Schizosaccharomyces pombe: one gene and its partners. The protein of the gene in region 4 interacts with the protein of the main gene of each other region in a biochemical or structural test. Each region holds a gene or a part of one and is shown on either strand. Other genes may lie near its edges.

Region 1 (10,759 bases), on a different chromosome or scaffold from region 4:
TTTACAATACGTTTCTCCTAAACTCTTACATGTACATGATCTTGAGTTAGCTGTTCCGGGAACATACGTTAGCGGGAAACCTGTTATAAGAATTGTAAAGTTTTACCCTACATTCAACGTGATAACATCTAAGCAACGTCCGAGACGACTGAGTATTAAAGGCAGTGATGGAAAAGATTATCAATATGTTTTAAAGGGTCACGAGGACATCAGACAAGATGAACGTGTTATGCAGCTATTTGGGCTTTGTAACAATCTGTTACTAGCTGACCCGGAAACTTTTAAGCGCTTACTTTCAATCCAAAGGTATCCAGTGATTCCTTTATCACCGGATTCAGGCCTTTTAGGCTGGGTTTTGGATAGCGATACTTTGCATGTCTTAATTCGTGACTACAGAGAAAGCAGAAAGATTTTACTCAACATAGAACATAGGTTGATCATTCAGATGGCTCCAGATTACGATCGTCTCACTCTCCTTCAGAAAGTTGAAGTCTTTGAATATGCCCTACTTAGTACTACGGGGCAGGATTTATACCGCGTTTTATGGCTGAAGAGTCGTAGCTCAGAAGCTTGGCTTAATAGGCGAACTAACTATTCTCGTACTCTTGCGGTGATGTCAATGGTAGGGTACATCTTAGGTTTGGGCGATCGTCATCCTTCCAATTTGATGCTGGACAGGTATACAGGTAATATCATCCATATCGATTTTGGAGATTGTTTTGAAGTAGCAATGCATCGAGAAAAGTTTCCCGAGAAGATTCCTTTCCGCCTTACGCGAATGCTTGTTAACGCAATGGAAGTTAGTGGTATAGAGGGGACGTTCCGGATAACATGCGAACATGTTATGCGAGTTCTTCGTACTAATAAGGAGTCTGTGATGGCAGTTTTAGAAGCTTTCGTTTACGATCCTCTTATTAACTGGCGCCTTGCTCCTGCATATTCACCTTCTATCGATGAAAAGCAATCTAACGAACCTAATACACTTCTCGGTGAGACAATTGATGGTTTACACCGGAAACGCTTAAACGAAGAAGGAATTACACTTGAAGAACGTCAAAAACCCGAGATACTCAATCAAAGAGCTATAACCGTTCTTAATCGTGTGTCCAATAAACTTACTGGTCGGGATTTCAAACCCCAACAGCAATTGGATGTACCAAGTCAAGTAGAGAAGCTGATTTTACAAGCAACCTCTATAGAGAACCTATGCTTGTGCTATATTGGCTGGTGTAGTTTCTGGTAGGTGACAGTCCCAAACGTTCAAATTGCTTTTCTGCCGCATCATATATATATTCTATATTAAATAAAGTGTAAATAGTCTTTATGAATGAGTCCTGTAACAATTTATTACGTTGTTTTACAATTTTACAAAATAGAGGAAATGTTGAATTTGACGCAGAATTTTTAGAATTTTGTAGTAGAGAATGCATCTCTTTATATTGTTATTAAAGATTTGCTGCTTAATCATTCTGAAAATAATAAACTCTAAATTTCTACATCTGAAATTGTGAAAATTATTGAAACTAAATTCTAATTATGCATTGTACAAGTTAGGTAGCAAATTCGTTTTGTTGAGTCCATATTATCGAATTTTATAATATAATACTGAATGCCATTTTAATGCGATTTAAATTATAAAGTGTTTTACTTTACACACATTTTTTTAAAAATCCAAGTTATTTTGAAAAGTTAAATATTGTTTTAAAAATTTATTATTCATTGTTTACTGTCACCACCCCTCTTCACGTATCTACAATCAAATTTACTTATCTTAAAAGAATACGATTATTCATGAACATAATTAATATCGCTTAATTATTAAAATTTATTTAATTTCTTAAATTTGGTTTATTTATCGACGCATACCGACAATACAAAAAAAAGGAACTTGAGAGCTTTTGATTTAACAAATCAACTTGAATGGAATTAGATGAGGTGATTCAAGGCATTGTTTCTGCCATTGGAGGATTTGACTATTCAGACGATGAAAAAGTGTACGTTCTTGGTGATGAAGCTTTGGCTTGCCTAAAGGATCTGAAGCGCTATCTTCAAGTAGTCGATGAAAAGTACAAAGTTTGGCAAATTCGATCTTTGCTCTCGAGCTTACAGTTGGTAACTAATGATATATGTCCAATACTCTCTGACTGGGATAAAGACATTACTAATTACAGAAACTGGCGTATCGCTTTAGCTTGTGTTGAGCTTCTTGTACCATTAACATGGCCTTTGGAGACTGAGCATGAAACATTCAGAGAAAATGTTGATGTTCTCTATAATCTGCGTCAAGCTCAATCAAATTATAAAAATTCAATTTTATCTTACAAGAAGGGGAGCGTTTTATCCGCCATTTTAGCTGTTTTACTAAAGCCCTTAAGTACTCCCGCAGAATCCAGAACACTTAGAGACAAGGGAATAATCAGGATAGTGCTGTTACTATTTCGAAACATTCTTCAAATCGATGAATTAAAAACAAAAAATGAAACAATTATCTCGTTTGCGAAAGCTCATATATTAGATTTGATTGTCACACTGGTCTCGAATCTCGATGAATTTGAGCATTTTGATGTTTACATATTAGAAATAGTCTACAACTTGATCAGAGGTTGTAAGCCATCAGCCCTTTTCTCTGATGCCTCATTGACTAACTCTCAAACCGAACTTAATAGCTTACTCCTCAAAGAGTCGACCCAAAATCGCTATTTGAAACGAAATGCACATACGAGGCATAATAGATTTGGAACCATGCTTTCTGTTCAAACTGAAGACAGAAGATTTACTATTGCTAGCCAAAATATAAAAACCGACGGCCTTGATGAGCTTGACTCTCATAAGCGTTTTCGAAAACGAGGAACACGTCGAAAACATTTTGTATGTACTTAGTTAAACACGATGTTTGTTTAAATTTTTTTTTCCAATTCAACTATTCTATTCTAACAATATTAGGATGACATAAACAAATCGTTCTTTATCAATACCGAGGCAGGTACTGCATTAAGGAACTTTGCTGTCGAATTTTTGGAAGCTGGATTCAATCCATTATTTCAGTCTCTCTTAAAAGACTTGGAAAGAGAAGATCCTCGTGTGCTTCCAATTCATAAAATGCAATTATTATACGTTCAGTCATTTTTTTTGGAATTCATGAGATTTTCGTCTAAACCAAAAAAAACAGAAGAAATTTACTCTAATGATTATAGTTTTGGCTTAGCAGCCTCCGTTTTTGACCAACGAGCTTTGATTATGCACAACAGGTTAATGGTAGAATCCTTTGAAATGAAACAATGGAGCACCTTCCAAGCATCCATGCTTTCGATGACTCAATTACTTTTCACTCTTCGAAGTATGACACTTTGTTCCTCAGAAATTTACCAAAGAATTGCCGATAATCTACTAAGCAATATCTTTTACCAAGAGGAAATTCTTTTACTTGTTTATAGCGCTTTAAAGCATTTTAAAACTCAGTCCTTTGGGTATTTAGATGCAATAACTGAGCTAACTATAGTGCTATTAAAGGAGCTTGAGAAATTTAGCAGTGCTAAACAATATCTCTATGTGAAAAAGAGAAGGAGAAATCAGAAATCTGTTGATAGCAATGTCTTGGAATCGGATGAAGATGAAGAAAGCAGCTTGATTAATGCTAATGCAGCCGTTGAGGACCGTCTGTTTGATTTCGGCAGATATGAGTCTAGGTACTGTGATAATGGATGTATTGATAGTTTCGTGCTGTTCCTTCAATGTTACCAAGATCTGGATTCAAAACAAATTCATAGGGCTATTTCCTTTTTTTACCGCATTTTCGTGAAGCAAAAATGCCATGTTTATTTGTATCGTCTCGATTTCCTACGTGTTCTGGACAAAATGTTTAATGACCATGTCTATTTTTCTACTACAAATTCAGCAAGACAGGATTTTGAACAATTTTTTGTATATTATATGCGAAAGCTTTCAGATGCATTAAAAGATGTACCAGCACTTTTTATTGAGTTGCCTTTCCCAAAATTAACCGACACATTTTATTATCTGGAATATGGAAAAAGTCCACTTTTCTCTATTCATGGTTCGAGAAAAGGCCCGTTATACGAGACGGTGCCTGGCTTATCACATTTGGAAAAGGTGGCTGCCGTTGTTGCATGCCTTATAAATGAAAACAAAAGTGATTTATTAGATGAATTGAAAGTTCAACTTAATTGCCTCATTTCAGAAAGAAAGCTAATAACGCTAGCTGACGAGAACAAATATATAAATGAAGGTGGAAATGATGGTGAAAGAATGGGGAAGAATTTGAAAGGAGACACAGATTCATTTAATACGGCCCTTTTGAAAGACGGAAAATTTCGTCTATTATTAGAATTATGTGGATTCGAAGAATCAGATAACAATATAGACGTTCAAGCACTATGGAAATTACCAAATTCTGTTATAATTGATGAACTTGTTGAGCATGCCATGTTGTTGAGAAGGTTTACTGATGATCCGCCGACGTTTGAAGGCACCAAGCCCGAAGATTTATTAGTGAGGAAGCAAAGAGGAAATGTTCGTTTACCATCAAGTAGTGAGGGTGAAACATCTGACGAAGAAATTGAATTTGAAGCAGATGATCCTATAACTTTCGCCAATCGTCGAGAAGCGTTAAATAAGATTACTGACAGAAAACGTAAAAAGATGAAAACTAACGAAACTATTATTGACCATACAACTCGAAAGAAAAAGGAAAACCATTTACGATCTGCAAAATATATTGTTGATTCGGATGATGACTCAGAAACAGATATAGCTTTTTTTCAATCAGAAGCTGCTTTACGAGAGAAAAATGCACAAAAAGCCAGTGCCCTATTTAAGCGAATCGACGATTTAGAAATGGAAGGAAAATTACAAGAAATTGAACAACTCAGCGAGAATTCTTCATCGGATTAATAAATAAAATATCTTCGATTCAAATCATAAGTTTAATAATGGGTAGCTTGTTCATTGAAATTTTTGTTAGTAAAATGCTAGAAATAAGCAGCCCAACCAATGTACATTTCTACCAGGTTTTTTGGGTTGACAGCAGATTTGATCAATTCTTGAATTTGCCCTTCAATAGATAAAGGTATCGTCTCCCCTGGCATAAAGCCTTGAAATTTTTTGCGAATTATATCCAAAACTTCATTTGCTTCATTATTCGGGTACTTGCTTGACGACTTCTTTCTATTCCACTCGACTAAAGGATCATGTAGGAAAGACTCTAGTACGCTCATCAATGTATCTTGGTTTGAGCGAAGAAGCCGCATCGTTATTTCGCTAGCTTTCCTGAAACCCCCTTCATAACCTGTCGGACCCATTGCATCTACCATATTATGAGTTAATCTGAACGGCACCTTTTCAGGTTTTTCAAAAGTAAGACCTTTATCAAAAAGACAGTTGAAATCGACATGGATAGCTTCACCTGTAAATTCATCAAACAATATGTTTTCGCCATGGCGATCTCCCAAACCCAAAACGTAGCCAACTATTGACATTACTGCTAAAGTTCGGCAATAGTTTTGTCTACTAGTAACCCAATTATTTGGTTCTGGGAAAGATTCAACAAACCACTCATAAAAAACTGGAGGAAATTTCGGTAAGATTTTCTTTTCAAATATATCACCAGGGTTAGGACTTCGCAGTGCAAAGTCTAAATCAACTTTGATTTCTTGATATGATATGGGAATGTTTTTCTGTCTATAGCTTTTTAACAAAATTTCTCTAAATGGACGAGTATGATTTACCCATTCGATAAATCCGCATTCTTCATTTAAAGGAATAACAACATAAGTTCTAATACACAAGTTCCTTCTGTTCGCTTCTTGATCTTTCCTCAATATTTTACAAATAAGATTATTAAATTCCATCAATCTAGCATCCTTACGAAGATCATCTTTGGGTTTGCACAAGAATGGGTATAAGTTGCCATCCGTACCTCTAACGTACACTTTTCTTGGTTTTTGAAGAGAGTTCATTATATCCACCTCATCCTCAAATTTCAACAGAGTAGGCTGAGTTTTTGGAAATGGATAATGACTAGCTCTGTTAGCATCTTTAGCTGGTAAAGTAATGTCTAAAAATGATTTAGCAGGAATGACTAAATCTACCGGATCATCAAAAGAAAGCCGAAAATGATCCTTTAAGCTCATTTTTACAGATTTACTGTTAATCCTTGTATTGCACAAATTGATTAACTTTTCAGTAATGAGAATTGCAGATTGACTGAGTGCTTTTATATCAACTTTGGAAGACATAGAAAGCTTCCTAGAATGTAAAACATTTAAAATGCTTTTTCCACGAAGCGAGCGCTTTTGAGAAGTCGATTTTATTGTTGCCATTAATTGCCATAGCGTCTCCCCAGGATAAGATGCTACAACGTTTGCAATTATATGTTCCAAAATTTTATAAACTTTATTATTTGGATGGCATACTCTGGATATCATTTGGGATAATGCAACCAGAAAAAAGTATTGAGGAATTTTCATAGAAAGGCGACAAACATTCGAATTCATAAGTTCCAAAGATTTTTTTCTCGAAGAGATAATGTGTTCACGAAAGTACTTTTCGCCGTCATCTTTAGATAAGCGAAGTTCTTCGGCCCCAAAATCAAGCCACAGTGTGAGCAATTTTGGCATACTTTCATATATATGATTTGTACCATAGTACAAAGATCGACCAAATTCGTTAATTATGCGAGTTACTAACTCACCACTTAAAAATCGTTCGCTCTGTTCATTAACTGGGAGCTTTTGTTCTTCTTCATACATTAAAACTCGATGATGGCCAAGATAATAATGCGTATTCTCACATTCTGAGTAAATCTCTACCGCTTTATGATAATACGTCTCCAAATCCTTCAATCCCAGTTGGCCAGCTTTTCCGAGCCATTTTGTAAGTTTCAAGAACACTTTTCCTTTAAGTGGATTTCCTAAAGTTTCTTTACGATTTTTAGGTCTTTCTTCATGCTCATCAACCAAATCAAACATGTTGTTATTAAGCGAAAAATTCAATTCAGAAATAGCTTTACGATGTTGCCCTTGATGCCACCACCATTGTGCGTGCTCTATTGTTGCTAGCGGTTTATCTAAATCCATTGCTTTGAGGATGGCATTGAAGGCTCTTTGAAATTGACCATTTTTTCGAGATATTCTTGCAATCTCGAGATATATTTCAGCAGTTTTCTTCGTGTTTTCAAATTTTTCATAGCCAACTAAGTGAGTGGACAGGATTTGGTGCTTGAATTTACCGTACGGAGCTACTTGGCTAAGCCGACGGCGAAGAACAATATCAAGATTGTCGGAAACAATTCCGTCAGTTTCAGCAATCCTACTAAAGTCATTAATTGCGTGCAGCTTAGATAAAATATCATAACAATCATAGGCTGAATGGGCGCCTGTGTTTGCAATTGCTGTAGCAGCATCAACGTACAAGGGTTGCAGCCGCTCCGTCAATTCAGCAAAAGAATCCTTCCGTAGGTATTGGTAAAATATGCTACCCAATTTAGCTTCGAAAGATTCCAAGTTGCTTTTTGAAAGACACTTTTTTAACGAATCAATAGATAGCGAACGCCATGAAGCTTCAATACCCAAATTTAACATCTTCGAATACTCGTGGTTGTCATTGATTATAAAAGAATCTAAACTCAAAACAAGAGATTCATAATGCCCCGATTGCAGCATGCTGTTAAGCAAACCGATTTTCGCCTTTTTATTTTCAGGATCCTTTTGAATAATAATTTCGTAACAACTCAAAGCCGAGTCCCATGTTCCTGAATTTTCATGTAAAAGGAGTTGTTGATCAAACGAGTAATCATGGAAATTTAAAGACACTGCTTCGATTTCATCTGGATCATCAATTCCAGCATATATTTCCTGCAAAACTCTATAATCGGACTCTAAAGCTGCATATGGAGCTGTAGCATTACGTATGTGTTGCTCCCAATAAAACAATGCACGAGCATGAAATCCACAATTTAAAGAGACAATACCTAATGTTTTTGAAGGAAATCGAGAAAGAAATGACTCAACTTTTGAGATCGATGATTCTCGAGAGGTAGCATCTTCCACCGACATATAACGGTTCTCTTTCCTTGCAATGGCAGAACGTCTATCCCAATTCCTCTTCTTTCGCATGCGAAGCCATTTGTTAAGGTAATCCACAATCTTAAAAAATACATCTACAAATGAGGTGTATCTTTGTTGCCCCACGGAATTTAATCCATCAGGTCCCGGTTGATTAATAACAAGCTGGAATTCTTCAATGACTTTATTAACTTCCAGTTCTGACTCGGTTAAAATAACATTTAAAACAAGAAAGGGAAGAAGAAAACAGGGAATGTTAACCTCTTGGTCTTTCACTACTTTCGAACAAATACCAAATATTTTTTCAGCGTTTTGCGAATGGGCGTACTCCATCAATTTAAGAGAAAACAACTGCATCCAAGTATGAATAGTAACATTTTCTTTATAAATAGGGTACCGAATGTCAATTTTGGGGATTGGTGTTAAATGATACTTGGAAGTTAAAAATGGTATAAGCACACGTTTGGATAAATCAGGCAAAGACATCCAATGTTCTGTTACCACAGTTAGTCCCTTTTTTTTATTAATCACTGCGGACTTGAATCCACCAAGCTTTAGAAACTCTTGCAGAGCATAGGCAAGAAAACCTTGTGCTTTAGTATCAGTAGTAACAAGGAAAGCTGGAATTAACTGCGATTGCATAAAATCTAGAATAAACTTCAAACTTTCTTCTCCGTTTTCAAAGTTATCAAGAACAACTGTTTCTTTAATAATATGTTGAGCCTTGGCGCGGCTGGGATCTATCGCACCCAATTCACCAAGATTTTTTGCAGCAAGATATGATATTTGCATATTTGTTGAAGCATATTTTACACAACAATCTAAAAGGCATCTTAGTAATTGGTCCAGAACTTCGTTGGATATGTCCAAATTTAGTGTGTCATGTAACTCGTCCACCTTGGCTTGAAAAAAAAGTTCTAATTTTTGTAAACCTAAATAACAAACTGGCTCATTTTCGTTAGTTAAACACTTAATTATACTTTGAAGCTCAGAGTAAAAATCTTCATTTTGAAGCGAACAGAATATTTCTTTAGCCTTAAGGCTAAAGCACGCTGAATCCAGACTGGTGGGGATAGCCCACTTTAATCCTTGTAGGCACTTGTGTGTGTCAGAAGAAATAAAATCAAATATTTGAATTACTAGCTCTGCTTCTTGTGGTTCTAAATAAGGGAATAAAGGAGGTAAAATTACAAGACTTAAACCAGCAATTGAACTATACTCGGGCTCCTTGGTTGCTAATATCAAACTGAACCAAGCTTTGATTGCATAAAACCTTAAGTGCTCATTTTGAAAAGCACTTTGTAAATTAGAAAGTATCTGTGGTAATCCAAGTTTGACTGCACCTCCACATAAAGATAACATTTTTTCAATGCCGACAATTGTCTTAATCTTTTCATTAATTGAAGTCTTTCCTTTCAGGTCGTTAAGGATATTAGAAAATTCTGCTAAGATACCCAAAATGTGATTATTAAAAAAATCATAAAGTAATTCCTTATTGCTCAAGTCTTCGTCATTAACCACTTGAGAGACAATCATTGCTACCTTTCTTAAAGCATTTTCAATTTTTTCATGAGGAACATCATTCTGATAAAGCTGTAACAACTCCACAGTAATAGAAATAGGATCAGAGCGTAACAAAGACGTTAAATCAACTTTTTCAAAATCAGAAGTGGCCAGTGAAAGAAGAAGCATCACACTCTCTTCCAAATTAGGATGATCCGTAGTAAGTAGCGAAGCAAGGATTTTATGCATATTGGTAAGGCACAAAGTAGCAACATCACTTTGTGAAAGTTCAGCTATACGTACTATTAACGCTTTGTTTTTAGTAAGTACAAGGAATGGTAAAGTGTACGCCTGTGTTCGAATAAGAAAATCGCCCTCGGAAATATTCATAAGCTGAGCAAATAAACTGGCTATGTTCGGTTTTTTACCCATACCTTGGACAATCGCAACGGACACTGTTGGCCAATATGGAGAAAGTAATTGCCAAACGGATATATGACGCGTCGAGGCAATTTGTTGCAGAGCGCTGAGACCAATGCCTTGATAAAATATTCCGCTGTTTATCACAGAAGATATAACTTCCAATAGTACAAAATGTAATTCTTCTTCTTCTACCACTCTAGATAAGGAGATCCAGGAAAGAATGACCGTTTCTAAAATAGCTGTATTTTCCACCGCCAATATTTTCAACGTATTAAAAATCAAGGCTTTACTTTCCTTGTGAAATTCAACTATATCAAGATTATTAGGTCCCTTAATGAAAATGGGCAAAACTTTTGCAGCAACAACACGTAAACATCTTGAAGTACTGGCTAATGCTTTCATAATAAATTCTCTTAAACTTAACATTGATTCTTTATTAAAGTTTGAGCAATGCTGGCTCCACCGAAAAAAGCCATCAAGCAACAATGATTGTTTAACAGAAGAGGAAATTATGTCGGGATTTTTTAGCAATGCACAAAACAATTCGTGATAAGGAATTTTAAAGAGCGACCGCTCATCAAATAGTAAACAAAATGAGTTACAAACTTCACAACCATGTACTTCATATGTGCGGAAAATACTATTTGTTTTCTCATTCACCTTTGCAACATGAGTACACAAAACTAAAGAGAAGTTCTTCAGGTCGTCCTCACTTATTGTAACATTATGAGAGCTATAATAATCTAACATTT
Region 2 (7,902 bases), 1.1 Mb from region 4:
ATGCGGTAGCCGTTAAATCAATGTTTTTATACAGAAACTTTGTCAAACGAAACTATTGATCCGTCGAACATGCGGTCTTTTTGTGCAGTATTACTTAACACAACTTTTCACAGTAGCCGTTATCTATCTATGTAGAATTCTCCTAATATAACTTGACGTTTTTATCTCAGGCGCTTAGATAACATGTGCTTATTTTCTTCATCTTTGCAGCTAGCTACACTGTATATATATGGGTCTTCATCGGAGTTTCGACAGACATTCACATAAATGGAGAGGCAAATCAATTACTAGCAAGCGAACAAATTAACAGTTTAAGTAATCAAATTGTACAATGTTTTCAAGTAATTTCCGGTAAAATGCTTACATTGATTTTTATTTTAATGGAAACACTTTGGAATACGTTATGTGCATTAAGCTACTACGCTACAATACCTTTATAATGTATAATGAATTTTTAACGTTGCAAAAGGGATTTCCTTTGGATATGAAAGGATTATAACGAAGTTTGCTGTTAAAAGAAAATACGAAAAAGTCATTTAACGAGTTCGGTTCATGAATGCGTCAACTAAGCCGCGAATGGCTTAAACCGCGGATTACGTTGATGTGAAATTCTGGGGGGCACATACTTTGACCAGAGCAAACTACATTAAAGCAGGCGGAAACGCATACACCGTCTATTAGTTTGGAAGAAAACCAAAGCTTGTTGTTGCTCTGATTAATAACATTTCTAATCAATATAATAATATGAAGGCTTCTTTCTTTGTATTTGCAATTTCTGCTTTGCAGGCGTTACAAGCCTCGGTAGCTTCTGCTTATAGCGAAGTTCCAGGAAAACGATCGGTCGTTTTAAATCTGCAACATAGCCAATATGATCATGTGGCGAGGAAACTGGAACGTACCAAAGTACTGAACAAGCGCGATTCTTCGGGATATCCAGTGTTGGATCTTGAGTACACTGATGCTGGCGGTTATTTCGCTAACCTTACCTTGGGCAGCAATGAAAGAGTCTATTCTCTCACTTTGGATACTGGTAGTCCTTATACTTGGGTTACTGCTAAGAACATTACGGCCTTAAGTGCTTCCGAGATTTGGAGTGACACCGATGGGGTGGATGCTGGTAGATCTACCTCGGACATTCGTACTAATGCTTGTACCAACTACACGTGTTTTGATTATTCCAGCACTACCGCCAGGCGTACCAACTCCAGCACCATTGGATTTTTGGCTTCCTATGGCGACAACACCACCGTCCTTGGCTACAATATGGTGGATAACGCTTATTTCGCCGGTCTTACCCTACCTGGCTTTGAATTTGGATTGGCTACACGCGAATATGATAGTAGTCAAATTTCCGTAACGCCGGGAATTATCGGTTTGTCAGTTGCCATGACTATTACTGGTATTAGTTCTGATGACAAGGTCGTTGCTTTTACTCCCCCTACCATTGTTGATCAATTGGTAAGCGCAAATGTGATCGACACCCCCGCGTTTGGAATTTATTTGAATGAAGATGTTGGTGAACTTATTTTTGGTGGTTATGATAAGGCAAAAATCAATGGATCTGTTCACTGGGTCAACATCTCTTCCTCTGATGACAGCACCTTTTATTCCGTTAATCTCGAAAGTATCACTGTTACCAATTCTACCTCCAGTAACAATGTTCAAAGCTCCAAACGCTCCTCTAAAGACATTGAGGTCAACACCACTGTCACTTTGGATACTGGTACTGTTTATATTTATTTACCTGAGGATACTGTTGAGTCCATCGCCGATCAATACCAAGGTATTGTAAGTGAGTATGGTTATGTTGTTATTTATTGCGACTCTTTCTCAGATTCTGATTACATTTCTTTTAACTTTGGCAGCGATGCCGACTTTCATGTTTCCGTTAATGATTTGGTCATTTATCGTCAAGAATCCACTTCTGGTGATATTTGCTATCTTGCTTTGTTTGAAGGTGACACCTCGAGTTACCTTTTGGGTCAATACTTCTTACAATACGTTTATTCTATTTATGATTGGGATGCACAAAAGATTGGTCTTGCTGCTTTAAATAGTAACGCAACCAGTACTGCCAATCATCAAATTTTGAACATTAACTCTGCTTTGCGTAGCGTCACTAGCGGTCAGAGCGTTTCTGCTACTCCTACAGTTAGCATGTCGATCGCTGCTACTTCTTTCGGATCTTCCCTCGTACTTACTGCTTCCGCCAGTCCTTCCTCCACTTCTGTTGATGGCAGCAGCTCTTCGGATTCTAGTGAAGCATCTGGAGCCGCTAGTGTTGGCGTTTCGATCAGTGCTATTGTTCTTTGTGCCTCGACTCTGATCTCTTTACTTTTCGCTTGAGTGCGGTTACTTTTAAAAACTAACCTCAGCCTTTCTCTTTTCAAAAAGCTTAAAATTTTAAATTACAAAACAGCAGTCTTTCGTTACACTGCCGGCTTTTCGTTTCGTTTAACCTCCATGTACAATTTGTACTTTTGTTTTAAAGCCTTTATCTATTGGTATTTTTAGATCTATAATCTATAATTAGTTTCGTTTACTTCAGCTTCCTCTACTTCACTTCATTTATTTTGTTTTAAATTCAAAACCGATGGACTCATAATAATAGTTTTTCTTATGTTATATACCAAAAAAGTGCTTTTATTTGAGGTTATCTCTCAGCTGCATGTCAGTTTATCAATATACCAAACTGTCTAATCTTTCATTTCTGGTATATTAATAACATTTTACAATAGCTTTTGAATAAGTTGAATTAATTTCGTAAAATCAAATTTTTTAAACGGGAGATTATGTGTAAGGATTCATTTTTTATTAGAATGGAATGGTAATAATATTCTACAATATTTAATGATTTAAAAGTAATTTAAGCCAATGTGATTATTATATACTGAGGTATGCAACTTTCAGCCGAACTAATTGCTTACTTGTTTCCACTATTTAAACACTTTAGTTCTACCAAAACCCATCTCTCAACTCCTTTCGTACCCTTCAACACTAGTTTTCTCTTTCTTTTCCGTTTCATGTTTACTTTCTTTTATTAATTGTATATATATATTTAATTTAGATGTCGGATTCAAATCATTCTTTAGATTTGCATTCCTACACACAACTAGAAGTAGAAAGGTTTCGCGAGAGTTTGATTCAATTCTACGATAAAACTAAAAGGATTTTACCTTGGAGAAAAAAAGAATGTATTCCTCCTTCGGAAGACTCACCGTTGGAAGACTGGGAGCAACCAGTACAAAGGTTGTATGAAGTGCTTGTTTCAGAAATTATGCTGCAGCAAACTCGTGTGGAGACAGTTAAACGGTATTACACGAAGTGGATGGAGACTCTTCCTACTTTAAAATCATGTGCTGAAGCAGAGTACAACACACAGGTAATGCCACTGTGGTCAGGAATGGGCTTTTACACACGGTGCAAACGACTCCATCAAGCTTGTCAGCATCTTGCCAAACTTCATCCCAGTGAGATTCCTAGGACGGGAGATGAATGGGCGAAGGGAATTCCTGGTGTGGGCCCTTATACAGCAGGTGCTGTATTGAGTATTGCATGGAAACAGCCAACAGGCATTGTGGATGGCAATGTCATTCGTGTATTAAGTAGGGCTTTAGCTATCCATAGTGATTGCAGCAAGGGAAAGGCGAATGCTTTAATTTGGTACGTAATTTGAAATTTTGAAAATCATTCTACATTTTATTCCGTGAATTTGTTAACCAGGTATCCCAATTTAAGCAAAATTGCTAACCAAATATTTAGGAAGCTAGCCAATGAGCTTGTAGATCCTGTTAGACCTGGAGATTTCAATCAGGCGTTAATGGAGCTAGGTGCAATCACTTGTACTCCTCAGAGTCCTCGATGCTCGGTTTGCCCAATCTCTGAAATTTGTAAAGCATACCAAGAACAAAACGTAATACGCGATGGAAATACGATTAAATATGATATAGAGGATGGTATGAATAAAAAATTATCTATATTTACTAACAATGATCCAAGTACCCTGTAATATTTGCATCACAGATATTCCAAGCAAAGAAGATTTACAAAACTGGGTTGTTGCGAGATATCCAGTCCATCCAGCTAAGACAAAACAACGAGAAGAAAGGGCGCTCGTTGTTATATTTCAGAAAACTGATCCTTCTACCAAAGAAAAGTTTTTCCTTATCCGAAAGCGACCGAGTGCAGGGCTTTTAGCAGGGCTATGGGATTTCCCAACAATCGAGTTTGGACAAGAATCTTGGCCAAAAGATATGGATGCGGAATTTCAGAAATCTATTGCTCAATGGATATCAAATGATAGCCGTTCTCTTATTAAAAAGTATCAATCCCGAGGAAGATACTTACATATATTCAGTCACATACGGAAAACAAGTCACGTTTTTTATGCTATTGCTTCTCCCGATATTGTTACGAACGAGGATTTCTTTTGGATTTCGCAATCTGATCTTGAACATGTTGGAATGTGTGAACTGGGATTAAAAAACTATCGAGCAGCATTAGAAATAAAAAAAAGAAAGGTTACATCTCTTTCAAATTTTAAAGAACCTAAGTTGACATCGGCAAGAAGGATTGTAACGAAAGCAGAGTGCTAATCACGCCTTTGTTTTCGACAATTCTCCTTTTAATTCTTCTATTAGCCTTTTTGGGAAATAATCTTTATCCCATTCTTCAATACTACCGCCCAAGATGGTTGTATTGTTAGGATCCAGCATTAATACACCTCTCCTTACTAGCACGTTTTTTACCAATAATTTTGTTCCTAACTTTGTACTGAGTTGGATGCCCTTGATTGGTTTTCTTTCCAAACCCCAAAATCTCTGACCATTCGAGTCTTCGAGGATTAACCGACACATTTTTTTTAATTCCGATCCTTTTTGTACAGCATCTTGAGCCTCTGTCAAACCATCATCATCGTTTTGTTCTTCATCGCCAGATTCATCATGTACTAAGCGAATTACTTTTTGGCCTTTTAATTTTTTCAACTCTTCCAAATCATTTAGATATTCCAGTTGATTAACAATACTAATTCCAATTTCTCTTACTCGGACAATTTGAAGCAACATGGTATTTTCAATTCTGACATTGTGCTGCTCAGACACGATATATGGAGCTGCTCCCTCGCTTGTGGTGGATTCACGTATATCAGAAGCCACGAGATACTGCATTACTAATTGAGGAGTTGTGTTTGCTCCAGTTGAATGTTTTTTGGCCAAATAATCCAGCAAGCTTTGTAACCACCTGTTTTGAACACGAACCCCGAGTTCGGTCAGCTCTGTACTTAAGGTGGTAGTTTGATTCATAATAGTAGAAATCTTGTAAAATTAAATATCAAAAATATTCCTTTATGTTCGTTTACTTGACACTGCTAGCTCACATGCTATTGACTAAAAAGAGATTATTGAACGAAGGAGGAATCAGCACACCAGTGTTGAACACCTAAAGCAGCTTCAATTGACTATATTGTCCAACAAAGCTTTTCGCAATTACGCAGACTCAAAGTTCTTGCTTTCAGTATTCGATATAGCGTTAATGTAGTAGGTCGGTGTGTTACTGCAAAAGAGAATATAGCCAATGTGAATCGAATCCTATGATTACCAGAGATGGGATCTAATTTTCATAAAAAAAAACAACAACAAAAAGAATAATACCTTTTTTACAAGCCTGTTCAAAATGTAAACAAACGCGCTGTCAAGTGTCGTGTCGGGCAAATGTCTTACGAAACGTAACGCACATTGGTAGACTTCGTTAGTAACAGAGCAGTCACAGAGTATACCTTGAAGAGCAAAGTGAAACTTTTACGAACAACACCAATTGGGGAAAATGGCACTCAAGGAGTATCAAGTCGTTGGACGCAAGGTTCCTACGGAACATGAGCCTGTTCCCAAGCTATTCCGTATGCGTTTGTTCGCACCTAATGAATCTGTTGCCAAGTCTCGTTATTGGTACTTCTTGAAGATGATCAACAAAGTCAAGAAGGCCACTGGTGAGATCGTTGCCATCAATGAGATTTCCGAGCCTAAGCCGTTGAAGGCCAAGGTCTTCGGTATCTGGATTCGTTATGACTCTCGCTCTGGTACCCACAACATGTACAAGGAGTTCCGTGACACTACTCGTGTTGGTGCCGTTGAGGCTATGTATGCCGATATGGCTGCCCGTCATCGTGCTCGTTTCCGCAGCATCCGTATCCTTAAGGTTGTTGAGGTTGAGAAGAAGGAGGACGTTCGCCGTAACTATGTCAAGCAACTCCTTAACCCTCACTTGAAATTCCCTCTCCCTCACAGACGTACTGGTGTTGTCGGTTTGGCTGGCAAGAAGGTCTTTGCTCCTCACCGTCCCAGCACTTTTTACTAAGTATTTATGGTTGCCATATGTAGTAGTACACGTTTGTGTTTCATAAAATACATTACTTCCTTTTATTTTCAGCGTAGCAAATCATCATAGTGAAAGTGAGACATGAGGCGATGAAGCAATAGTTAACCCTATAGTTGTAAATTAACCCAATATTTTGTAGAAAGGTTTGTGTTGTTTTGTTCGTTGTATTCAAATTCCCTATATTGCTTGCAAAACGAGATGTATGACTTGCTAAATGGTTGGCTGATCCCATAGCAATACGAGAATATTAATTGACGAGAATTGAACTTCTTTTCTGCCACATGGTTATAGCATTTCATACGTTTCAAACAGGAGGAATTTGTAATCTTGACCTGGTTCTTTGACAGTGAATGCCACATTAATGATATTGGCTGCCCCTCAGAGATCTACATAACGAGACAAGCCTACATATTTTGCCGTTGTCCCTTCGCTTTTAAAATTGGTTTAGTTCGAAACTCTCGCTGACGCTGAATCGCTTTTAGCTGATTGTAGTCGAGCAGCATAGGTATTCTGAAGAAAAATGAACCATTCTAATGTTCAAAAAATTATTTATAGATTTACTATTAAAATCTCCAATCTTCATCAGTCAATATTCATGATCATATAAATTTACGATTTAATGATATTATATCAGTATACTGTACAGCAAATTCGCTAGGTTAATTGTTTGCTAGTTATCACTATAAAACGCTTATCGTTAGGACTTTTGCAATGTTAACCCCCTTCGATTTGAAGGTCGTCTGTAGTGGGGGTTGGCTCATCCAGCCTTTCGCGATTTCACCTATCCTCTACCTCTTTCTTTCCACCACGACGGGTTGTCAGTGTGGACTTTAAAAATGGCTCAACAATTACCAATACGGTTCAGTGAGGTGTTACAGGTAGGTTTTTAATGTTGTTAATAAACGCTAATGCTTGTAGCTCGCATCCGTAGGAATTCAACCGTCTTCTTTCGGATTTGCAAATGTAACCCTTGAATCTGACAAATATGTTTGGTAAGTATATTTTATCGGCACTTTTATTACTTGTTTGCTAACTACTATACGTGTAGTGTTCGCGATAATCCAAATGGTGTAAACCAGGTCGTTATTGTCGATTTGGAAGATCCATCTAATGTGTTGCGACGTCCTATTTCGGCAGATTCAGTTATCTTACATCCCAAAAAGAAAATTATTGCATTAAAAGCACAAAGACAACTTCAAGTATTCGACTTGGAAGCGAAAGCGAAAATTAATAGTTATGTAATGAATCAAGATGTCGTTTACTGGACTTGGATCAGCGATAGCGTTATCGGTATGGTCACTGACACTTCTGTGTTCCACTGGACCGTCTCCGGCTCTGATCCTGTTAAAATGTTTGATCGTCATAGCTCATTGAATGGAACGCAGATCATTTCCTACAAGAGCAACTATAATGAAGAATGGTTTACATTGATCGGTATTTCCTCCCGGGATAACCGTATTGCTGGCAATCTTCAACTGTATTCCAAAAAGAGGAAGGTCAGTCAGCCTCTGGAAAGTCACGCTTCTG
Region 3 (6,502 bases), on a different chromosome or scaffold from region 4:
CTAAAGTCCCTCAGTACCAATTCTAGTTCTTTTGACCGTTTTTTCTTGTTTTTAAAAATATTTTTTAAAGAATTTAGAACGTTAGTAATGTCAGCTGCTAAACAATGCTTTCGTAATCTTTGGCGAGCATCCAATTCGGTTTTTGAAGGTAAGTGGGTTAACCTCTATCAACAAGTATGTTTTTTTTTATTCACAGATGATACTTAGGGGACCCAATGATTCTCGCAGCTGCAAGGGATAAAATCAGAACTGGTTTTCACAATCATCGGTGCTGTTCTCCAGAAGAAGCAAAAAAAGAAATCCAAAATGGTAATGCTGTTGCGGAAATCCTTAGAAGGAACGTCGTTCAAGCTGAAAAGCAATCCAACGATACCTATTCTTTGAAAATTCGAAAGACAACTGAAATTAATACAAACAGACAATTTACTGAAAAAAAGTTTCCTCGGTAATTTTTTGAAATTACTGCATCAAGCTCTATTAATACAATAAAGTATGTTGTTTTCATACTCATATTTATTTTTTCTGTTTTAGTAATGTTTGACCATTAACAAAAATAAAGGGAATGGCAAGCTTGTTTTGTATTTGCACTTCATTACTTTCGTTTTTTAATACCATATAACAATTCCTTTCGTGAATAAATAAGCAAAATTAAGATTATATCGGTTACTTTATTGTGATTATACGGAACCTCGTTATCTTGGCATCATGATATAAATCATAGCATAGCTAACATATTTCCTCAGTTCCACAATCTGGCTTTACACTAAAGTAATTCACACCCTACATTTCTATAAATTTCTATAAAAGCATTATGGCCGAAACCGCTGAAAAAGTTATTTTGTTGACTGGATCCTCTAAGGGTATTGGATTGGCTACTGCAGAAGCTCTACAGAAGAAGGCCAAGGTTATTGCTGTTAGTAGGTCCTTGACCCCAGAACTAGAAACTTTGCTTATTCAAAATCCTGACTCATTTGTTCACGTGAAGGGTGACGTTACGGAGGTTGGAAAAGCTAGTATCGAAACTGCTATTAAAAAGTTTGGAAAATTGGACTCGGTTATTCTAAATGCAGGTGTCCTTGAACCTATAGCCAAAATCGCTGATGCAGATATCAATGAATGGCGTAAGTTGTTTGATATCAACTTTTTCAGTGTGGTTGAAACAGTGAAGTATGCAATCCCGCATTTGCGTAAAACCAAGGGTACTATTGTGATTGTATCCTCTGGCGCTGCTGTTCGTGTTTTTCCCGCGTGGGCTGCATATTGTTGCTCAAAGGCCGCCATCAACATGCTAGTCATGAACCTTGGCAGCGAGGAGCCTGATATAATGAGTGTGGCAGTACGTCCGGGAGTTGTTGATACCCCTATGCAAGTTAGTATCCGTAATGATTCCAATAAAGAAGCCATGGGTGGAGATACTCATAATTTTTTCAAAGAACTTAAAACATCCGGTCAACTTGTGGCTCCTCAGGACATCGCCAAAGCTCTTTCTTTTCTAGCCTTGAATAACAATCCAAAGCTTACTGGTCAATTCGTAGAATGGAAATCATTTGTCTAGATGTTCTATAGTTTATTGAATTTCGGAGTTAGAGGCTACAATTGTTCGTTTAAATAAAACAAAATGAATAAATTAAACATTACATCAAATAAAAGTAGCTGAAAATAGTCCCAAAAAATGATCATGATTACTAATATTGATAAACAAAGCTGCAACAACATCTCAATCATTCATTAATGGTGACTATTCTAATTGGGTATCGTTGTCTTGGGCGACAAAAGCATCATCAGCTGTATCTTGAACATATGGATCTCCGCTCGTCAAATTCACTAATGAATTGGAAGATGGACCAGTAAATAATGAAGCATTAGAGTCCGAACCATTTTCAACAGCAATTTCATTAATCCAACCACGACGTCGAACCTTGACGGATCTGTGTTTTCCTAGAGTTTTAAGATACGATATTGAGTCATCAAACGTGGCTCTTGGATATAACTCATGAGTCCATATATGATACATTCCCAATAGTTGTTTTAAGTCTTTTGCCTCATGACCCTTTCCTTTTAACTTAACTTTGCGCATCATTTTCCTTAATTTTGGAATTCCATTTTCAGAAATCAATCTAAATAGGGAAAACGAGTGGTCAATAATTATTTTCCGAAAACCGACCAAATTCTTACCTTTCTTCATCAAATTTTGCCAACCGTTTGCGAGGTTTTTTTACAGAATCTGGATTTTCTTCTAACCCTAAATCAAATTCTTTTTCTTCTTCATTCTTTTTCACCTCTTCCCTTTTGTTTTCCTCGACGAGTTTTTCAACACCTGAATCAGAAGCAGCTGTAGACATTTCTTATGGTGTTTTTTTAAAATATATATTTGCTTGTATGTTTCGCAAAAGAGAGTTAGTGAATGCAATAAATATCGATTTGCTTGCTGTTTCGCTTCAAAAGTTCTGTTAATCTAGCAATTTTTCTATGTACTATTGACTTTACTGCTAATGAAAAGCGAATAGAACCTTTCAAATTTAACTGCGCAGCAAGAAAGGTTTATAATTTACTAATGAAAGAAAATTCCTTATTTAACGCGGATTAGAAATGTGTAGAGGAAGAATAGTTCAGAAGGCTCATGTTACACCTGGACTATATACTTTTATAAAATTTTGTTAAGAATGCTCATAAATTATAGCTAATTTTTGGAATTGTGATAGACGTATTTGAGTGATAGTGCTCGCTGCTAATACTAGTATAACAATTCTCAACGTAATCATTTTTGAATCGTTTCGGAAAGCATAATAAAGCAACTTTTACCCTTTCTCTTTCAATTAACATACTTTCCTTCAAATTTCTTGCATTCGTGTAGATTTCTTTTTTTGAATAAGTGTTTGTCATTAAAGGTTTAGGCAATGGCTTCTAGATATCGTGTTGAGTATGCGTTAAAGCAACATCGGAAGGACGATTTTATTGAATGGATTAAAGGTTTGTTGTCAGTTCCTTTTGTTTTACAGGCAGGAACCCCTTCACAGAAACTAGTAACGCGCGAAAAAGAGCAGGAAACGCTTGAGCGTTACGCTGTAATTTTAAGAGATGTGGAAAAACTTATTGAGGCTCATAGTAAGTTTCCCCTTCATTCTTTTAATTTTCTAACCTTTCTCATTGATAGTTCAAATAGTTTCAGAAGGTGGATCCTATAGCCAGTTAAAGATGCTTGTTCCATCGATCACCATATTTTGGACACCTTTGCCATTAGTGAAAGCTATGTACGCGTTGGAACCAAAGCTTTGTCTAGCTAAACGAAGCTTTGTGGCACCGAGTTTTAACGATGTCAGGGCAATATTAGGAGGTGCTCAATTGAATTACCTTGCGGATAATGGCTTGGATATGGTCAGTTTTGATGGAGATGTAACTCTGTACGAAGATGGGCAGCCTTTGCTTCCTGACAATCCTGTTATATCCCGTTTGATTCAGTTACTTTCGAGGGGGATCTATGTCATCATTCTTACTGCTGCTGGCTATCCCAGTCGTACTGGCCAGGAGTATACTGATAGATTTTCAGGATTATTGCAGGCAATCGAAGACAGCGACTTGAAGGATGGGCAGAAACGGAAACTTCATGTATTAGGAGGCGAGAGCAATTACTTATTTGCTTATGACCCACTGCATGGTTTACAATGGGTGGATGCTGACTCATGGATGCTTCCCGTGATGAAAACATGGCCTCATGATGAGATTCTCGAAATTTTGGATACTGCTGAAGAAACTCTTCGTTCTTGCATTCAAGGACTTAACATTGATGCAAAAATAGTTCGTAAAGAAAGATCAGTTGGATTTGTACCTTCCCTTGGTCAAAAACTGAGAAGGGAGCAACTGGAGGAAGCTGTTTTGGAGACACAAGCAACGTTGCAGATACGAAATTTCTCAGTTCCTTTTACTGCTTTCAATGGTGGAAATGATATTTGGTGTGATATTGGTGACAAGAAATTGGGTGTTTTATGCCTTCAGCATTTTTTTAATATTTCCCATCCTTCTCGCTGTCTGCATGTTGGTGATCAATTCTTGTCAGCTGGTAACAATGATTATAAAGCGGTAAGTTTGAAATAAACTTTTGTTGAAGATTACTAACCACCTATTCAAAGAGAGCTGCTGCTACCACTGTTTGGGTATCCAGCCCCCACGAGACGATTGAGTTTTTAGATTATTATTTCTCTTTTTTAAAAAAGTAATTTAATTAGAGGAGAGATCTTATACTGCAAACACATTCGTAAATATTCTTCTTATACTTCAGCAATGCTATACTATACTTATAAAATGAATACCCATATAAGCGTTTTGACATCAAAAGATATATGATCGTTCAATACATTGTTAATCTTTGATTTTTGATATCAATTTCTTTGCTAATTTTAATAGCGCATTATGCAATGTAAGATTTGGAATAGCATTAAATCTGAATACATGAATTTCACATCATAAAAACTCTAAATAAATGAAGACAAAAATAGTGATAACTCAAAGAAAGATACAGTATGTACTTGATTAGTTTTCAGAGTAACTTTAAGACATGAACGATAATTTGCCATAGAAGCAAATTCTAAACAAATTCCGGATTTTTAATATCCATAAATACATCTAGCTCAATTTTCTTTTGTTTCGGTCTCTGATGCGGTAGGAACAGGAATGGCGGTTGTCGTATGATTATCGTGAGCAATATTTTGATTTTTAAAACGCTCACGGGCTCGGCTTAATAGCTCTTCTTGTTGTCTCAATAACTCATCTCTTGATACACCGGATTGTTCAAATTTGCTACTTTTCTTCTCACGATTCTTTTGTTGTTCTTTATGCTCTGCCGCCACTTCCAAAGCTTCAGCAATATATTCCTTGAATTCCAAATTCTCTAAAGCTTTAATAATGTGTTCAGCGGCTATAGTTTTTTTTGCCTCCTTTTCGCATATTTCATTAGCTTCACTAGAAACAAGATGTATGAACTCCACACAGCACTCTATCAGTAAATCTCTAGCTTCCTTCGTAAAAGTCAAGTCCACTGGAAGTATGTCGGAAACCATTTTCTGAACGGTGGCTACACATTATTAGTAAATATGGATTGCAATTCTTTTACCTTTGGGAAGGGACAATTCATCGTCCGCGAAACCATCATTCATTATGCAAAATTTTTATTCCTAATTTCGTTCGTTTCAGTAATGCAAAACGATTTTAGAGAATGCAGGTTTGTGTAATACTCAAACTAGTATAGATTCGTTGCATGCTTTGTTATACATACACATATATATATTTTCGTCCAAGAAGATATTCGTAGAGTACACTGGAATGCAGTATTGGTAGACTCGTTCTATTCAGCAAAGAATGACAAAAATGATTTTATAAGTATATTAGACGGCAATTTCACAACTCGATTATACTTGCAGAATAATTTAAAAAAGACATGGATTTGATTACGGCTTATTCTTGTGCTTTGAAAATCCAAAATTACGACAGGGTATCAGAGCACTACAAAATAAATGAAAAAAAATTTAATGAATTATTTTCGAGCAATTCCGGCTAATTAAACCCGATACTCTGAAGTTCTCATAGAATGATCAGCATATTGATAGAAGTTTCAGAACTTCAAAGAATCTAAAATCTTTAAAATACATTACTGAGCATAGCAAATAATAGAAGAAAGGAATGGTAAATATTTTATTCTATGGTATCAAAAAAAACACACATTTCAAGATGTATAAATGAAAGTGGGTAAACAAAGATGGCACCAAATTTGATTTCTAAACTCACGCTAAACCCAATACCTTTTTTGTTATGAACTTACTGAGCAAAGAAAACAACGTCGGCTGATGACATGGATCCACGTTCAATAAACATTTTGGCAAATTTGTCAAAAACAGCTTGGACAGAAGCAGCACCGGCAGCTTTCTCAGCATTGATGTCAGCAGCTAATTGTCCAAGTTCTCCTTCACCTAACTTGGACATGATAACATCAACGTCTTTTAACACACTGTCAACATGCTCAGCTGAAGGAACGTCAGTTGCACTAAAATAGTTGAAGTCTTTGAGAGCGTTCTTGACAACCTTTTTATCACGCTTTTGGGCCTTCTTTTTATCCTCCTTAGCCTTTTTGTTAGCAGCAGCAGCAGAGGCTTTAGCAGCAGCTTCTTCAGCAGCACGACGTTCTTCTTCTTCTTTCTTTTTCTGTGCAGCAGCAGCAGCTTCACGTGCACCAGCCTCACGTTCCCATTTACGAGCAGCCTTAGCAGCCTTTTCTTGTTCTTTGAAAAGCTTAATACGAGGATCAGAAGCCAATGCAGTATCAACAAGGTTACGTAGGCGTGCATTATCACGAGCCTTATTCTTTTGACGTTCCGAACGATTCTTCTTCTCCTGAAAACGCTTGTTATCACGAGATTCACCATCATCAGGGATATCCTTGTCTAAATATTCAAAGCTTCTCCAAGAATCAAAATTGTACCAGAAGTTATAAAAGTTATCAACTTCGGCACGA
Region 4 (7,052 bases):
AAATTAATACGCGATGTCCATCATGTTTCAAACGCTGCAGCAGTTTATCAAGAAGTACCATTTTACCACTATTCATGATAATACCTCTCAGCGTATCTTCTCGAGTCATCTTTCTACCCATCATCCATTTTTCCGCTGCGCCAGGAAACAGATAGGGATGATTTGATACTTTTTTCAACTCTACAACTATATTGAGTAAGGATAGCTGACCTCGGCCATCGGTATGACCTGTCAAGGCGCGGTAATTTTTAGTTAAAATGTTCTTGTACCATTCAGTTTGCATATCAGATAGTTCGACTCGAAGAATACGCTCAGATTTGGACGGTAAAGATTTCTCTACATCTTTTTTTAAGCGACGGAGAATGAAGGGTTGTAATCTTTCTTGTAGATCTCGGATGTCGCGCTCTTGTTCAGCATTTGGTTGATCAAAATTTAATTCATCTCTAATGTAAAATTTTCCAGGCATCAAAAAATTAACCAAGGATGCCAGCTCCTTGAGATTGTTTTGAAGAGGAGTGCCTGTTATTAATAATCTATTGGCAGTCCGAAATTGAGATAAGGTCTCGTATAAAGATGATTCACTGTTTTTGAGTCGATGAGCTTCATCGATAGCAAGATATTGCCAGCGAATATTGTTGAGTTCTTGCTTATCTTTCAATATATACTCATAGGTCGTAAGTAGAATGTTAAATTTAAGCTTGCGAGAATTCGTAGAAAGGTAGAATTCATACTCTCTAATATTAGCACGAGATTCCGTATTACCTGTATAGCAAATACTATTCAAATCAGGTGTCCAATTGGCCAATGTTTCTTGCCAAGCCGGAACAGTGGAAAGCGGTACGACAATAAGGAAAGGACCGTGTTGTTTTAAAGAATGGACTAAATAAGATAAAAAGCACACAGTTTGCACGGTTTTACCCAAACCCATTTCATCTGCTAAAATACCATTTTCATTCCGGTGCCATAAATATGCCATCCAGTTTATACCAGTAAGTTGAAAATCACGGATTTCCCCCCCTTTAATGTAAGATGGTTGCTTTTCTAACTTGCGGTACGGGGGACGGGTGTTATAGAAAACACCTTTATAAGGGAGATACGGACTGTTTTCACGTTGCAAGAATTGATAAACTTCATTTGGTGCCATAGAATAAATTACGTCGGCATCTTCCCATGTGCAATTATCATAAGGAAGCTGCCTCCACTTTACAAAGTATTCTGTTTTTCCTTCTTCGTTAGTTTCAGAAGCTACTATGCGTTCGACAATTTTATACTCTTCAAAAAGCATATTTTTACGTTCGCGTTCAATATCCAGAGCTTCGATATCTTCAAAGGTTGTAGTTGGATCTTCACGAATCTCGCGATCATAAATGATGTTTTGCTTTATATAATTGTCGACTTTTTTGTAGCCCCTCACAGAAGAAAGCGTAGAATAATCTTCCCAAGTATTATGAAGATGGGAAACTTCCTGCCATTTAATTAAATACTGATAGCTAGACTTCGGGTCATCGTCTTGTGCATCCGCTCGCTTTCGGTGATTTAAAACGAAATCAATAATAGGCTCATATTCCTCTTCGACCTGTTCTTCTACTTCCTCTTCTTCGTCCTCGAAGTCGTCGTAAAATTCTTGTTCATTGTAGTTGACGCTTTTACCTTTTGAAGATCGCAATGAAGTACGGATTTCGGTTCCGGAAGCAGAGTTAATACTGAATCTATGTCTCTTATCATATGCGTCTTCATCATCGCTAGCCACAGACTTTTTTTGCTTTGGTGCAGGTTTGCTCTTTCGTTTTTTAGGAATCGGAATTTCATGCTCGTCAATTTCAGTATAAGAGAAATCACGATAAACGGGTCGTTTAGCCCTTGAAGAACGTCTTGTACCATCTACTCTAACATCGTCAGAGTTTTGCGCATCGTCAATTTTAGGGGTAGACAAAGCAGAAGATACAACTGTGCTATTAGCAGTGCTGGTTACGATTTCAGAATCATCAAAGGCAGAAGACGATAAAGATTGCTGCGAAGCGAAAGAATTTTCATGATTTAACAGGCCATTCATGCTAGGTAGAGAATTTGTTGTATTTCCAAACTGAGGATCAGTTACTGCAGAGCCATTTAAAGTAGACTCTTGAACGCTCGTAGGATGATTTTTTAAATCATAATTCGAATGTTCAGGCTCCATTCTTGTTACTCCAGAAAATTTATATAATGTTAAATGTTGAGAACGTCCACAAAGTAGGCGCTCCTTTGCAGACTCTCTTTTAAAAGCTTAAAATGCTTTTTTTTAAATATATATCTGGATATTAACAGTGAAGCAACAAAGGATTAATAGGAATAAGCAGTATGCCTATAAGGCTATTAATTGAAATTACTATGTTGTTGGCAGAAATTAATAGTGCAAAAATATGCAACACTATAAATGAAATGCCAGGCAATGCAGGTGATTTTGGTATCAAATTACTTCTCCAGAGTCCCTTTTTATTAATAAAATTTACCTTTTGAGAAGGATTCACTATTTTTACTCATGCAATTTCCACTCTCAATTTTTGCGAAAATGCAAGACCTTTACAAACAAAAAAATCCTTTGCCATAAAATGTACGAGCTATTCTCATTCACTCCATGGAAATTAAGTTAGCTTACAATTTTCATTTCCGGTTCGTATTTCCGAGCAAGTCTGCAGATTTTATTTCATTTTCAAATTAACTGTGCAAAACGTGAAGGCAAATTCGTATTTCATAAAATGCTTCAGTTCGCATGCTTTTATTAAATTTAAAGATCATTAATTTCAAAAAATTTCTATATATTTTATTGTTTACTATCCCATAACGTTAAATAGTTTACACAAAAACGTCGAAACTTTTCACATAAACGTATGCTTCTTTGTTTCAATTGTTCATGAAAACATAATGTATTTATTTACTTCTTTAATTACAATTGAGAGGGGAATCGAGACAGAGAAAACAATAGTTTCTGAAAGAAATAAACTAATTAAAAATTTGACCGATTGGTTTTACTAAATTTTTTTAACTGCATGGATATTTTACCAAAGATTCAAAGATATATTTATTGGTTTTGTTATTTTTTTGAGAATTTTATGAAAGACTTCACCTTCCAACTTTTTCAATTAAATGTCAAGGAAAAATACTGTACTTAAAACTCTTGAAAGTTTTCCCAATATTTAAGAAAATGGAACTTCAATTGTTTTTTTAAATTTTTGCAATCCCTTTTTGTTTTAATATTTTTATTACCAGTTTCTGTATATATTTATTTATTTCATTTGACTATTTAGACAATTTATATATTGATAGAAGGAGAAATCTCAGAAGGATTATTGAAGACTTAATTTTATTCTTTTTATTAATGTCAGCATGAAAGCTGATTTTCTAGTCTGAACATTTTATTAAATGGGTAAAAACAAAAAAATCAGTACTCTAAATAAACATTGGTTCAACGGCATTTTTAAAAGTGAATAGAGAAAAAAATTGCGATTACTGTTATACAAAGACATGGCGAAATTGAGTCTTTCAAGCGATATAATTGTCCTTCAACGGCCTTTCGAAACGTACGTAGACACAACCGCCTAACCGTCAATCACAACTTAATTCCTCAACCATTCCATTTTAGGAAGAAGTCGAAGAGTTCAATGATTTTAATATATTTTAATTAATGCACTCAACTTTTTGGATTTAAAAAATTCCAAATTTACGTAGCTTAGTATGAAAGTGGAGGAGCACGTCCCTCTAATACAGGAGTCGAGGAAGAGAAAATGCCAATCTTCTGAAAATGCTTCGAAAAGGCAGCAATTACTTTCCAAGCTTCCACTTAGACTTCATACAGGCAATGAAAATGTCGATTTATCTCCTTTAGTTTCTGCCATTCGCAAGGCAAAGCGCATAGTCGTTGTTACTGGTATGTTGCTTATTTATGGTTTTCCTTCTTTTATTTTAACTTTTCACTTAAAAAAAAAGTGGGATTAAAAAAAAAATTAAATATTATAATCGTACAAAGGCTCATTTACTAATACGTTTAAACAGGTGCTGGAATTTCTTGTGATGCTGGAATTCCTGATTTCCGTTCCTCTGAGGGTCTTTTCTCCTCCCTTCGTGCGGAGTATAAATTGAACTGCTCCGGGAAGGAATTGTTTGATGGATCTGTTTACAGAGATCTTAAGAGTGTTAACATCTTTCACGCAATGATTAGAAAGCTACATATGCTTTCTAATAATGCACGCCCCACTGATTTCCATTTATTTTTATCTCAACTAGCCCAAGAATCTAAGCTGTTACGTTTATACACACAAAATATTGATTTTTTAGAAACCAGACTCGAGGGCCTTCAAACATGTATTCCATTGCCGCAGTCTGCCCCTTGGCCTACCACGATTCCTCTTCACGGGACACTGGAAGTTGTAAGTTGCACAAGGTGCAGCTTTTTGAAAAAATTTAATCCAGATATATTTGATAGAAATGGTGTTACTGTTTGCCCTGACTGTAAAACCGAGAACGAGGTTCGTCGTATAGCAGGAAAAAGATCAGTTATCGAGGGTTGCCTTCGTCCTCGGATTGTTTTGTACAATGAGATACATCCGGATTCCGAATCTATTGGTTCGGTCTGTTCACAAGATTTAAAGTCCCGCCCTGACTGTCTAATTGTTGCTGGTACTTCTTGTAAAATCCCTGGTGTCAAAAGAATTATCAAGGAAATGAGCAACTGTGTGCATAAACAGAAGGGAAATGTTATTTGGTTGAATTATGACGAACCTACGAAAGATTTTTTGAACTTATGCGACCTGGTTGTACAAGGAGACCTTCAAATTGCTATTAGACGTCTGAAGCCTTTATTAGATGCTCCAAGTTGGAAACTCAAGTCCCATTCTGCCAAAAGAACTTCAAAACAAAAATCTTCCGAACAAACAAAGATTACTTCTTCCACTAAAATTACGAAAGCTATTGGCTTGAACACGAAAAGCAATGATAGTTCTAAGAAAGATAACACTTCTTTTCAGTTGCACCAAGTGCTCAATAGTATTGAAATACCCAAGGTGGAAATTAAACAAGAAGTTGAATATGCAACCCCTTCTCCGCTTTAACATTTAGCTTCAATAAACCATGTTAAAAATATCAATTTATCCTTCTTACCCCAAATGAGGTTTAAATAATGCCTGTAATAATAGTAGTGAACCTTCTCTGAATCCGAAAAGCGATACAAATTCCGAAAAACGTTTGTCTAATTGATTAAGCAACTTTGATGTGATGCTTACAATTTTTTCATTTTGATTCTTTAGTATATAAGAGATGCAGTAATTAGGTTGTACAAAACCAAGATCATCAAATTTTATCTCATAAAGTATTGTAATTTTGTAAAAGGAATTTTGAACATAGAAACATTGAGCGTCCATGTTTGCTGATGCCACTTTTTTCATATGCTTTGATAAATAAAACCACGTATTGCAGCGATATGAGTAATGGTGGGCAAATAATGAGAACGCTCTCAAAAGAGCTACTATATCGAGACATTGTATTGCAGAGTCCGAAAAACTACTGAGCTCTTTTCTAGCAAAATGCGGGATTTTATAAGTAATAAATAAAAGAGCATAATCGATTGTTCGGACCTTAATTTCTAGTAAAAATTTGAAGCTTGGGAGATATTCTATATCTCCTTTAAGAGAATGATGAATGATTTTCTCGGATTCCGCTTCAAATTCATGTTGTGTGAAACGAATGGATGATATGGACGAATTCAATTTAACATGTTTTTTGGGTTCAGCAGATGGCATAACTTGCTTTGTTTTAGGATTATCAGGGTTTTCGGTATTATAAATTACTACAGAGGAATCAATCTCTAATAATGATTTTATAAATCCGCTTAAAAACGAATCGTCGCGTTGGTTAATTGCATTTCGTCTAACCCTCACCTCTTTCTCAAGAAGCAGGGTTTGATGTACAAGGTTACTCCTTTTGCGCAAAAGATCCATTTTTCTGTCAGTGTCTACTCTTCCGTTGCTAGATTTGGATTGTCCACTGTTTTCATTAGGCCTCGCTCGTGAATCTACGCGAGGCATGCCATTTAAAGTAGTATTTGGGCTTCGGTGAGCAACAGTACGTTTTGTCTTTTTTTGTTGCGAATCACTATCATCACTACTGCTAGATCCTTCTTGTTGAGAAATTTGACTATATCGCCTACCGGACATTTTGATATTTATAGTCGTACGCGATAATAGTATCAGTATTACTACAATTAACAATGCTCGTGCAAAAGTGTTTTAATACTTTTTATGCAACATTAATGAAAAATCCAAAATCCTCAAATGGTGGAACAAATGCATATAGTATATAGTCATGGTCAAAGCAACACTTAAACCTAGAAGTGAATCTTAGTAGCTACCACTTTGAAATCACTACTTCATTTTTACGACTGAAATCCATATTACTCTACTAAAAATAATATTTGTAATATTTTATCATTTTCATTGTGAAATGGAGAAATTTACTCGCTGGAGAGGTAAGAATATGCAATACTTTAAATGCTTGATTGTTCACATAAATGTTGTTTAAATAGAACGCAAAAAAAAATAAAAGCAAAAAATAGAAGCCAATTATTTTGTATTATGATTCTTGACTTTAAGATCGAGTGTTTGTCAATTTCTCTTAACAAAATGACTTTAATGCAGATTCATTAACCCTTTTAGATCCGGGAACGGGCATAGCTCCATTCCATCCTATAAATACAGAAACTCCTAGTGGATTTAATTTTAAATGGATCCTTATAGTTGTTGTTATGATATTGCGAGTTCCTCTTTGCATCATTTCTGTAACATTATGGTTTCTCTGGTCTTGTTTTTTGAAACCTATACTATCTATACAGCCGAAACTTAGTTTTTTTATTGATTCGAGTCTCTCCCGTTTACTCCTTTTATGTTTTGGATGTCTTAAATTATCAAAGTCAACTTCAGGGTATGCCCATTAAGTCCCTCGTGCATCTTACATTTTTTATTTTTCAGAAACTAATCATGAGTAGAAGTTTCGTTCAGGGTGATAGCCTTCAACCGGGTGATATC

The links.
Region 1: the proteins of hst4 (region 4) and swi1 form a complex in vitro, tested with the Schizosaccharomyces pombe proteins (one study listed by BioGRID).
Region 2: the proteins of hst4 (region 4) and myh1 form a complex in vitro, tested with the Schizosaccharomyces pombe proteins (one study listed by BioGRID).
Region 3: the proteins of hst4 (region 4) and swi3 form a complex in vitro, tested with the Schizosaccharomyces pombe proteins (one study listed by BioGRID).

The regions. Positions count from the first base shown.
Region 1 is NC_003423.3:905,755-916,513, reverse strand, and holds swi1 (replication fork protection complex subunit Swi1), read left to right. Parts: upstream 1-1,734; 5' UTR 1,735-1,920; coding exon 1,921-2,868; intron 2,869-2,884; exon of another isoform or gene 2,885-2,943; coding exon 2,944-4,911; 3' UTR 4,912-4,988; downstream 4,989-10,759. Other genes in the region: TORC1 serine/threonine protein kinase Tor2, read left to right, coding at 1-1,243; ATR checkpoint kinase Rad3, read right to left, coding at 4,989-10,759. UniProt on the Schizosaccharomyces pombe protein: Forms a fork protection complex (FPC) with swi3. FPC coordinates leading and lagging strand synthesis and moves with the replication fork. It is required for programmed fork-pausing which is necessary for mating-type switching.
Region 2 is NC_003424.3:3,331,925-3,339,826, forward strand, and holds myh1 (DNA adenine glycosylase Myh1), read left to right. Parts: upstream 1-2,957; 5' UTR 2,958-3,067; coding exon 3,068-3,663; exon of another isoform or gene 3,664-3,762; coding exon 3,763-3,956; exon of another isoform or gene 3,957-3,999; coding exon 4,000-4,595; coding exon of another isoform or gene 4,596-5,303; 3' UTR 5,304-5,790; downstream 5,791-7,902. Other genes in the region: aspartic protease Sxa1, read left to right, coding at 745-2,346; RecQ mediated genome instability protein Rmi1, read right to left, coding at 4,596-5,303; rpl2002 (60S ribosomal protein eL20), read left to right, coding at 5,824-6,354; clathrin heavy chain Chc1, read left to right, coding at 7,212-7,253, 7,294-7,367, 7,424-7,902. UniProt on the Schizosaccharomyces pombe protein: Adenine glycosylase active on G-A mispairs. Has glycosylase and nicking activities and is active at A/G and A/GO sites.
Region 3 is NC_003423.3:3,089,186-3,095,687, forward strand, and holds swi3 (replication fork protection complex subunit Swi3), read right to left. Parts: upstream 2,672-6,502; 5' UTR 2,343-2,671; coding exon 2,176-2,342; exon of another isoform or gene 2,118-2,175; coding exon 1,739-2,117; 3' UTR 1,674-1,738; downstream 1-1,673. Other genes in the region: chaperone protein Mzm1, read left to right, coding at 88-148, 208-449; SPOM_SPBC30D10.05C (sepiapterin reductase), read left to right, coding at 812-1,555; isn1 (IMP 5'-nucleotidase), read left to right, coding at 2,898-3,105, 3,155-4,077, 4,128-4,214; ncb2 (transcription corepressor), read right to left, coding at 4,626-5,068, 5,108-5,150; zuo1 (zuotin), read right to left, coding at 5,809-6,502. UniProt on the Schizosaccharomyces pombe protein: Forms a fork protection complex (FPC) with swi1. FPC coordinates leading and lagging strand synthesis and moves with the replication fork. It is required for programmed fork-pausing which is necessary for mating-type switching.
Region 4 is NC_003424.3:2,190,141-2,197,192, reverse strand, and holds hst4 (histone deacetylase, Sirtuin family, NAD-dependent Hst4), read left to right. Parts: upstream 1-3,577; 5' UTR 3,578-3,711; coding exon 3,712-3,904; exon of another isoform or gene 3,905-4,029; coding exon 4,030-5,084; 3' UTR 5,085-5,129; downstream 5,130-7,052. Other genes in the region: CENP-A chaperone, CHD family Hrp1, read right to left, coding at 1-2,176; CENP-P family protein Fta2, read right to left, coding at 5,130-6,185; vps66 (acyltransferase), read left to right, coding at 6,472-6,496, 6,684-6,948, 7,013-7,052. UniProt on the Schizosaccharomyces pombe protein: NAD-dependent histone deacetylase, which contributes to both telomeric and centromeric silencing, proper cell cycle progression, DNA damage control, recombination, and genomic maintenance.